Kluyveromyces lactis: one gene and its partners. Each later gene encodes a partner of the first gene's protein in a complex. Links are inferred from orthologs where the notes say so. Each region holds a gene or a part of one and is shown on either strand. Other genes may lie near its edges.

Evidence for each region. Proteins that work in one complex are often made in the same cells at the same time.
Region 2: ORC4 (region 1) and ORC1 share a complex: the UniProt entries of both Saccharomyces cerevisiae proteins name them as parts of the origin recognition complex. The link is inferred for Kluyveromyces lactis from reciprocal best matches to the Saccharomyces cerevisiae genes ORC4 and ORC1.
Region 3: ORC4 (region 1) and ORC5 share a complex: the UniProt entries of both Saccharomyces cerevisiae proteins name them as parts of the origin recognition complex. The link is inferred for Kluyveromyces lactis from reciprocal best matches to the Saccharomyces cerevisiae genes ORC4 and ORC5.

The regions. Positions count from the first base shown.
Region 1 is NC_006039.1:1,481,504-1,484,887, forward strand, and holds ORC4 (origin recognition complex subunit 4), read right to left. Parts: upstream 2,148-3,384; coding exon 501-2,147; downstream 1-500. UniProt on the Saccharomyces cerevisiae protein: Component of the origin recognition complex (ORC) that binds origins of replication. It has a role in both chromosomal replication and mating type transcriptional silencing. Binds to the ARS consensus sequence (ACS) of origins of replication.
Region 2 is NC_006038.1:453,565-457,516, reverse strand, and holds ORC1 (origin recognition complex subunit 1), read right to left. Parts: upstream 2,801-3,952; coding exon 140-2,800; downstream 1-139. Other genes in the region: ECM7 (Ecm7p), read left to right, coding at 3,273-3,952. UniProt on the Saccharomyces cerevisiae protein: Component of the origin recognition complex (ORC) that binds origins of replication. It has a role in both chromosomal replication and mating type transcriptional silencing. Binds to the ARS consensus sequence (ACS) of origins of replication.
Region 3 is NC_006039.1:234,802-237,963, reverse strand, and holds ORC5 (origin recognition complex subunit 5), read right to left. Parts: upstream 1,923-3,162; coding exon 501-1,922; downstream 1-500. Other genes in the region: U5 snRNP complex subunit LIN1, read right to left, coding at 1-309; POL2 (DNA polymerase epsilon catalytic subunit), read right to left, coding at 2,133-3,162. UniProt on the Saccharomyces cerevisiae protein: Component of the origin recognition complex (ORC) that binds origins of replication. It has a role in both chromosomal replication and mating type transcriptional silencing. Binds to the ARS consensus sequence (ACS) of origins of replication.

The sequences.
Region 1 (3,384 bases):
CCCTCTAAAAAGACCAGCCGAAACTTGATCTTTGGTTATCTTCTTCTCTATTTGAGTCTATATTGATGAGATACGTTAATAAATCGTAAAACCTTTAAATATACTCAAAAGTTTTACTATGAACTAGCGATATGATGAAGAAAAAATATGGTATGTGCAAAAAAAGAATGGTTCCTAGCGGGATCGAACCGCTGATCCCCGCGTTATTAGCACGGTGCCTTAACCAACTGGGCCAAGGAACCAATTTGTGGTTGTGGGAGCGAAAAAGGCAATCCATGACGAAAATTGTGGATCACGTGCCTGGAGCCATTAATAAAACCTAGCTGAACACGGTTTATCATGAAAAACCTTTGATTAATGACACCGATGTTGAAGATGCTCTTAATACTACAAGATGCTGTTCGATCGTAATGACAAGAACCGTACAATATGGGTTTGAGTTTAGATTTGTCGAGAAGAAAATGCTTGAATTGCTAATTATATGTACATATTTCCTACATCTATAACTGAGTCCATGAGTAGAAAAATGAGCTCTTGGGTATCGTCAATCGCATTTCTTGCAGCGTTACGCAAACTTGATAGGTTCGAAGATCAAATGGTGCCTTCATTGTGGATGAATTGTAGTTTGCTGATTGTATAGCAGAGTCTTCTGTGAATCTGACAGAAATCGCACCTCTCTCAGTGATAAGCTCTTGGTTTGCCAAGTTTTCCCATACATTCTTCATGTCGTGTTTAGTCCACATTTTGAACCTATCAGCGAAGGTGGTCTTATGAATCTTCCCCAATTTAGAAAATTCTTCATGTACCAAAGTCAAATTGATATGTTCGTCATTCTTTAAAGCCACTCTACAAGCAGATATCAAAATAGCTAACTCTAAATCAGATAGTGACAAGATCTTAGCTGAAATTGAATCTAAGAGTTGATTCGCCAAGTACTTTTTTATTTTGCTGCATGTTTTGATGCTCTCAACTAGTTCAGAATATGTTTTAGACAAGGCAACTGTGGGAAATATGGCGTTTTGTAATAGTTGTATATCTTTGAAGTTCTCGTAGTTCTGACGCAGAATACGAGAAATCTCTGAATCGTCATTTTTTAAAGTCTCATCCAAGAACTGGTTCCATCGAAGCTGATCAGGAATTGTTGAATCATCCACCTCTAAGAGCTCTTTGAATACATGCTTGAATTGATCATAATCCGAGATTGATGGCATATATATGATTCGCTGAGAAAACCGGGATTTCACTCTGTTTTCAAGAAATTGCATGATTGCCAACTTTGTAGTAAGACCAAGAACACAAACTGGTATCCTTGAAGTCTCTACTAGGTCAAATAAATTATACAAAAGTGTCTGTCTCACTGGTCCAGCAAATTTGTCAATTTCATCAAATATGAACACTAGCGTTACGTGCTCTGATTTTTCTTTCTGTGAGTGTACACCCTTTAGAGGAGTCACAGTAAATGAGTCCAACAATCTTAGAATGTTATCAAAGACTTCTGTCAAAGTACCTTCAGATAAACCTAATTCTTCTGCTTTAACTTTTTTTGATGAATTAACGTTTCTGTTTGCAAGTTCGAATTCTAATTGTTCAGCAATACTGTTAATTGCAGAGTTTTCCGAATGTAAAGAGCCATTTAAGTTGATAACAATGAATTGTTCGTTGTGTGTCGATCTTAAAGCCTCCAAATGATGCTTTATTATCATATCTTTATAATTGGATCGAGGACCGATGAGTATGGCCGAATGACTTTCTTTTTGAATGATGCATTGTCGAAGAAGCTTGTCAACTTGAGTTGAAGTGTTTTCCAAAAAGTCGGGTATCTTAGTTTCCTTAAACCCAAGAGTGCCATTTAGTTTTCTTGTCAAGTAGTGCTTCATTCTCTTAAATGTCTTTGTTTCTGGTGTCTTATTTATACCAAACAAAGGAATTGGTTGTGCTGCAGTATCTTCAGTACGTGTTTTTTTGGTAACAACTGCAGTATCAAGTTCAGAGTCGTTAGATGCACCAATAGAAGATCTTTTGACAGGGCGTTGTAATTTAATCTTCTTAATCTTCCCATCAAGCTTAACATCGTCTATGATCTCATCTGCGTTCACTTTGTGTACCGACTTTCTGATGGGGCCAAACTCGCTTTCAAGGTCATCCATTCGTACTAATAAATTGAATTGTGGATTAATACTAACTGTAATCGAATGAGATTAGTTTGACAGTGTTAGAACATGGACTTTGGTTTATGAATTATCTAAGGTACCGTTCTACTACTTTGGATGTATTCATTGTTGTTGATTTAGTTTTAAGGTTATTAAATGTTTAGTAAGGTTACCCGAAAATAATGAATTATTACTAGTCAGGTATAGTGAATTGGATGCACCATAGATAAGAACAACGGAACTTCTTCCAATACTTGATTCAAAACATTATCTTCCGAACTGGTAGCAACAGGACATAAAAGACGTGACTCATACGAATTAATCCCATTTAAACAATGTCTAAGTAATAATCATGTCAGAACACACACTCTTTGTTCGCAATGACTTTATCTTGTCTTTCTTTACATCTGTGGCACGAAATTGATAACAATATGACAAAAAAGAATAAACAAAGATAGGACCGACAGAAAAGGGAAAATCTTTGTTATTGGTAACTCTGACACCTTCTCATCCAAACTTACATTTTGTCTCGTTTGTCAACTACCCCCTTGTGTTTAATCAGGTATGGAAGGAGTGACGTTGACCACACATGAATTATGCAGACGCTGTGACTTTTAGTATAAGAGTTGTGAGATATTACTTCTTATTCGAGTATATATGTACGAATATATATATATATATATATTGAACTAGGTCAACTAGAACATTTAAATAAATTAATAATTAATACTACTATTATTATTACTCTTATCATTCTTATTCTTATTATGTTTGGGAGAGAAAAAGAATGGTTTTGTAAATGGTAACATGGTGATGAAATTTAGAGAAAACAAAAAAGGATCCATATGGTTTTAGACGCTTTACTCAGTTCCTTCGTTTGATTAACGTTAAGGATGGTATAATATAATGGTAGGGATAGATTTTCCACACTGGAACGGGACACGATATAATATAGTTTATGATCTGAGCGAAATAAATGAAATGAAAAAAAGAGACAACAAAAAAGGCAAACGGAACATGGAAAATATAAGGAGTCAAACGAGCGATGTTACAGATAGTGACAGTGATAATGGCAATAATAATAACGAATAATAATAGAAAAGAGAAAAATTTGGAAAATCTGAAAATACCGAAAACAATAAATAACCAGGGTGACGAGAAATCCCCCTTATATTGTGTCTGCAATGGAAAAAAATGGGTTTTAGGCTCTATCTTCCGTTAGGGAATAAACTGG
Region 2 (3,952 bases), on another chromosome or scaffold:
AAAATGCATCCTTTATTATATCTTTCTATCTTATAATTAAATAGTTGAAAAAGCAGTTTCATATTCTACTTAACCGCTACGCTACATGACAACCTAAGTAGCAATTATAATAGCAGCAAAGGCGTCTTGAAGGCATATACTAAAATGTCTTCAACATTTCATCTTCATGCAAGCATTGCTCCGCATCTTCCATGGAAATATTTAATTTGATCGTCGAGAGCCTCTCATTCTTCAAATATTGCCTTACTACAACACCTGCATCCAATAATTGCAATAAAATATAGTCCCAAGACACGGCCCTTAACTGTTCCTTTGTATCAACAGAATCATTTTGGAATAAAATCCGTTTCAACTCTAAAATGTATTTGTTATTCCCATTGACATCAATGAGGAGCCTCATTTCTTCTACGATATCACCAAGTTGTACGTCAGTTTGCTTCTTCTTAATTAAATTGATTAATGCGTATAGGAAAAGTTTTCCGCTAAATGACAGACCAGATATGAATTGTTGTTCCGGAGAGGTCGAACTTTCGTTTAATGCCTTGGTAATATGCTTAATTTCTACACTCTGTAATTCTTCATTTCCTGTACCATTGCCACTAGTATCTTTTTTGGAATTGACTAGTCGCTCATATCTAAGCCTCTTTAAGTAATCATTTTCCGCATATTCTACCGCTCTTTTGACCACCTTTAAAGCTCTCCGCACATCACCACTGACACTAGCAATTTTTCTTGATGCAATCTCAATGGCATCAGGATTAATCCTAAGTTTTAGTCGTTTATAGTTAGAGAAGTCTTTTCGCTTTTCTTCTTCATCAGTTTCTATAGTACTACTATCCGGAGAGATCATGTACGAACTCCCTGTCTCCGGGTCGACATAGAAACTAGATTCGTTCAAATATTTAAGTCTCAAATTGATGATTGTTCTAAGCTCTTCATGCGTGTAACCAGTGAACATAATTCTAGTAAAACCAATTCTGGACGAAATCTTGTTACCAAGATGGCGTTCGGGGAGATCTAAGGTGTTTGCGACAGCTACAACAATAAGTTTCGCATTTGAATAGGTAGCCCAGTTAAAGAAGTTGTACATTACATCTTGGCTCTTGCTAACTAATGCATCAAGCTCATCCAATAACACAACGATAGGACGTTTTTTCGTAGCTGGAACTTTGTTAAAATAAAACTCCAGAGATTCCATGGCAGCTCCAGATGTAAGCTTTTCTCCAGATATTTTTTGCCAAAAGACTTCATAACTATCACTTGCTTTGACAATCTTTAAACCATTGATTTCAATGTATTGGAATCTTGGAAGTTCTTTTTGGTCTGCAGATGTCATTAAATCCTTAACTACCTCTCGAACCGTCAAAGTTTTACCAACGCCTGGCGTCCCGGCAATGTAAATACTGGTGCTAGTGCCTGCTTCAATTGCACTGTAAAGTGAGAGGTATATACTTGCAAATTCATTTTCTCTTGCCGGAAGATAATTGTCGAAATCAGCAGCTTTGACAATTTCTTCTTTGCTATTCCTTGAGTTCAATTGCTTCTTCACCTTAGAAAAAATAGTCTCCATTTTGCCTTTAGCAGAAACTGTTCTGAATCTCTCCTCTAATGCAGCTATATCCAAATCATTATTATGCCTTTGGAAAATATCGTTCAAGTCAGGAATATCCTTCGGATTCTTATACCGTTTGGAAAATGGAGTATATGCCTTTTTAGCGCGCACTATATTATTCTTAAAGAACTTTCTAGGAGATGAATGAACTGCTGATGGCTGCAATGGAGTCTGTGATTTTACTGGTGAAATGGGTATATCTGGTTTAATAGATCTCACCTTTTTCTTGGCAGGTTCTACAATTGCAAGCTCTTCTGCAGACTGGTAATCTTCAAACTCTTCATCACTGTCCGAAGAGGATGCGTTTGCAAACTCTTCTTTACTTTCGTGATATTCAGATAAATCCGATTCATTATCTGATATAGCTTCCTTTTCGTTAACAATAGTAGATGCAATGCGTTGGACTTCAGCGTTGGTTTTGCTCACTGTTTGTTGAAAGCTTTTTTTGCTTGGTGTGTTGTCGGACTGCAATTTCGTCGCCACTACCTTCTCTCGTGCGTGGACCTTGGATTTATTTAAAGGTTTTGGAAGCTTGGGTAAAGTAATATCACGCAAATACTCCAGAGACACCTTAGGATTCGAGGAACGTATTTTTTCTTCAAAGAAATGTATATCTAAATCCGCCAGATTAGTTCCTGAAGGCAAGCATGCAGATCGACATAAAAACATATTAGAATCCATTTTCCCTTCATTGACAGAGTCTAAATACTCCTTTTCATTTTTAATATTAGCTACAAATTGCAAGTCCCGTAGATAAATCTCTGAAAGCTCAGCTGTCAAATACAATTCGTTCTTTATCGATTGTGACGCGAAGGTTTCCTCAAAAAATTTGTCACCTTTTTCCTTATTAGTCTCATAAAACTCTCCATCAAGCTGTTTATATCTTTCCGCAGCATTGATCTCGTACCAACTCAAATAGTTCAAACACCAGAGTTCTACGTAATTGCTTGTATTCAATCGCACCTCATGGATCATATACGCTGATAACTCGTCTGCACCCTCTACCTTGCACACAATCGTAACACCAGGATAAAGTCTGACTCCATCGTATCGTACCAAATTAATCACTTCATGTTCTGTAGCATCTCCTCTTCTTCTTCGCCTAGGAGTTTCAGCAATGAGATTCCCCTTCAAGTCTGTCTTCTGTATTTCCCATTGAACTTCAAACTCAGCTAACGTTGACGCCATGCCTAATAAACTCGCTACCACGGAATAAAAAGGAAAAATAATCAGATAACCGTTAAAATGCAGTAATTCCTTCCTAAACTAGTAGTAGTTACTTGCTGGCCAAGTATGTTGAAATGACAGCTACCTGTTTCCGTAGCATTCTTTTATCTCATAGCATATTGGTTGTTACACGGTTCCTCTGTTTACTGAATTAAGATCGATCTTGAAACATCAAATACGTGTAAAATGATACATAGTTTTCCCATTCCTGACGTCTAATTTTAAACCTTGAACCCTGGCAGAAACAGATCAAGAGATTTATCTCAAGAGTGATGACATGATAAACAGAATGAATTCTGCCAGTCAATTAACGAAGGTGAAGCAGATAAACACAGAAGAATAAAGGCAGCTGGCCTGCTGGAAAAAAAATTGAACAATTTCCCACGTTGATAGAGTCATACATAAGAAGCTTTTAGGAGCTTTATAAAAAGAAATGAGGTTTGGAAGTGTCTTGGCGAGGAATATATCGTTATGGAAATACTTAAAAGTGACCCTAGGACACCTCAACGCATTTGATAAGATGATGTTATGGCTGCGAGTTATAACTTCAGTGGGAATTATCGTTTTTGTCCTTGTTTTGACTGCTATTTCTGCCGCATCACCAAATTCGTTATATTTAGGACGATTGGACACTTCAAATGTTAACATTTTGCAGGGACTATTTGATAAGCTCAGCAGTTCTGTTGTCAGTGCAAAACTGTCTGATATTAATAACGGAGCAGGACTCACAACAGCAGAGATTCTTTTACTCACGCGGTATGTAGACTCACAGGTCCACGACGTGCCCGATTATATAAAGACAGGAGTTTACGGATGGTGCAGCATGAAACATGCTTCTCAAGAATTATGGCAGCCTGACGGTACTTGGAAGGAGGAACATAACTCTACAAAGGCTATGACTTGTCACAGGGAAGGAGCGCAATACTTATTGAACTATAGAAAGCTATTAGATGACCTAGGTTTGGGAATAGTGTTAAGTTACGCATACGGATATACTTACAACGATGGTGTTTTGGATCACGACAATGCAGAAAGTGCAAAATACAACAAATTTTTGGCTGCTTTGTCGAGAAGAAAAGTCAACATGGTCAATCTACTTTACGTCGTGGCAGT
Region 3 (3,162 bases), about 1.2 Mb from region 1:
GTTACTACCATTTATTTCTTCTTCTGATACTGAATCATCAGCAACAGCGCTGTCAGATTCTGAAATCTCTGAGGAATTTCCATCAAAGATTTCATCGGTTTCGGTTTGACCTCTTCGTACGAAATCTTCTATTTCTTCTTCATTATCGCTACTGTCGTCGCTGCAAGAAATGTCCTGGTAGTCTGATTCCTCGAAGTGATCGTCATAGCTATCTGCGTTGAAGTCAGTCTTTTTGACCTGAAGCTTATCCTTAGATTTGGTAATTACAGATCTATCATTTTGATCAGATGATCCCTTATTTACATTCATACTCAATGAAAGCTGCTGCTTTCTGCTTGCTGGTATGTCAAATATCTGAATCTATGGTTGTTTCTCTCTACGTATCAATTTCAATGTCTATAAAAAATACCTAAATTTGAAGAAGCATTCCATAGAGTAAAATGAGATCGAAAAAAAAAGAACGGCATGCAACAATCATATAACTACTACAAATGCCGAGTTTATTCCACAACATCACTGAAATATTCTGAAATATCAAAATCAACACTGCCAGCCACTAGTAATATGTAATCCCAAGTGACGTTAACTTTAAACTTAAGTCTTTCGTGAAGATACCCCAATTTGTGCATGTTCAGACCGGTAAGAAGTTGAGAAGTAATCAATTCGGACACGTTTTCGTAGACTTCCACATTTGCTTTCATATGAACATCTCTTTGAAAGAAATCTGGAGACAATTCCTTCGAAACTCTGACTGGGTATATCGATTGGAAAATTGCCAGCATTCTCTCAAGAGAAAAGCCTGATGGTTGAAGGTATCTCGGGTTATTCGCTGGTTTGCTTCTTCTCCCATAAGATGATCTACCCCCCCTTAGATGACTCTTCTTGGAGAAGACTTTAGAGTCGTACCGATGATTCAAATATGATGCCAAATATGCGGCTATTAGAAGATATTTTGCCATGAAACAAAGAGAATGGCTTGAATAACCAACAGACCCGGTACCACTTAGTGAATTTTGATCCGAACGGCTGGTTTGTGGTATTAGTCTTTCGTTAGGTTTATTGAATAGCTCCAGGTTAGATTTGTATAACTGTACTGTATTTTTAATGTTCTCTTGATTTAAAGATCGTACAAAGCACCTCCATTTAATTCTCATTATGTCTATCAGTGCAGTGGGGTCATAACCTGTATATACAATTAATGATTCTATCAGGAAATGGATATATTTTTCGAAGATTTCACTCCTGAATTGTTCTGTATTTCCGCATCCTATCTCATCCATTTTTTCCAATAACAGCGGGTCATCCGAGAAACCTGGTGTTTGTGATACAATATATTCAATCTCCAGTGGTTTATATTTGGGGAAGAAGATCGTGGGAACCTTGAACGTTGAGTAATTGGACAAGAATGAGGATTTGGAGAACGAGATTATTAACCGAAGTTGAATCATCGCTTGTGGAAGAATAGATCCAGGTAATGCCATGAGTTGCGTAGGTGTTTCCAAGTTCACCTGTGAATTATCATCCAGCCCATCGAGTATAACATAAAGGTTAACGCGTTCTACCAAGTGATTAAATCGGATAAACAATTTATTGATAAATTTCTGCAAAAGATATACGTCCTCGGCTTCAAATGGATCAAGATCAGTGGTTTCCACACTAGGAAATTGTTTCAGTAGCAATTGACGCAGACATGTAGCCAACCGCTGACAGGTGGATTTGCTATATATCAGATCTTTCGCTGGTAGTAAAATGTTCATGATTTCTTCATTGCAAGCAAAAAACTTCTTGAGGGTATGTGTCTTACCACTTCCATGCGGCCCTTCTATGAACAAGATTGGCGGGCTCAGTTTTGGATCGGCATCGACAAACGCTTCCAAAAAATCTAGTTGTTCTTCTCTATATCTAACATCAGGTCGTACCATTCTGGGTCACTTGATTCGCAGTAAATAACACATAGTGCGTCTTCATTCAGGTGGGAAGAATTCAACCATGCTAAGTTCAGAACAATTTCCTTTATGTGTATATATATTTTTTATTTTCAGATCTATTTTAACACATAAACACTCATAAATGTTAAATGTAAACACATCAGCAGACTAAAAGATAATACAACAGATGCCAGGGACTTGAACCTATAAGAAATCATTCAAAGTTTCTTTCAATGTTCTAAAGTCAAAGCTTTCCGCCAAGTTCTTGAAAATTTGTAACTGTGCCATGAAAGATTCCTTAGATACGGCAAGTTCCCATTTTCCTGAACATGGACAATAAGGTGACATTGCATCCTCTTTGATCTTATGACATTTATTGCACTTAACATCTTGGGTAATAAACGATGCAACTTGGGCTTGAAGTCGTTCGATCACATGCTCTTCAATGAGATTTTTATTCAAGGATCTGTTGCAGCTCTGGCATATGAAGACTCGTTCCATACTTTCTCTGCAAATATCAATATCTGATATATAAGAACAATGCTCACATATGAAGCTAGGGATCACAAAAGATGTACTTGGATCCTTGAATTCAGCTAATCTGTCGAATTCGCGTATTTCAAATGTCTTTAGGAGTTCTTTCCTTAGCGCCCTTCCTTCTAATAAATGATTACTGGAAAGTGATAAAATATGTGATAAGTATTTGACCAACTCAAGAAGCGGATTTTTCACAACTAGATGCGACCCAGGAATTGTGGGAGATAGATAATCCTTGCCGAAGTTAGGATCAAGAATATATTCCTGTTGGTTCTTGTAAAGTTTCTCTGCTCTTTTGATGAGAGCTTTTGAAAAATTATGGGTAAAACCGCCTAGAGAGTCAGTTTGACTATCTACGTCACTATCAGCCAGTGTATTCTTTGGTAATTGGGTTAATCTTTGTGTGGATGCATTTCGCTCATGATAGGCTTCCTTTGTCTTAACCATACTATCCAGTATGACTACTAACCAATCATCAAACTCTTGCTGATAAATTGCAGGTAAGAAATCCTTTATATGCCAATGAGAATAAGCCTGGAAACTCTGAACTTCTTTATCTTCAATCTGTAGACATGCTCTACCACCATAATTATACTTATCCATCCAAATCAGGACATCCCAATATCTATCAATTTTCAAGTCTAGATAGGCAAACATTGGTTTAGATCTGATCGCTTTCATGAGATACTGCCCATAG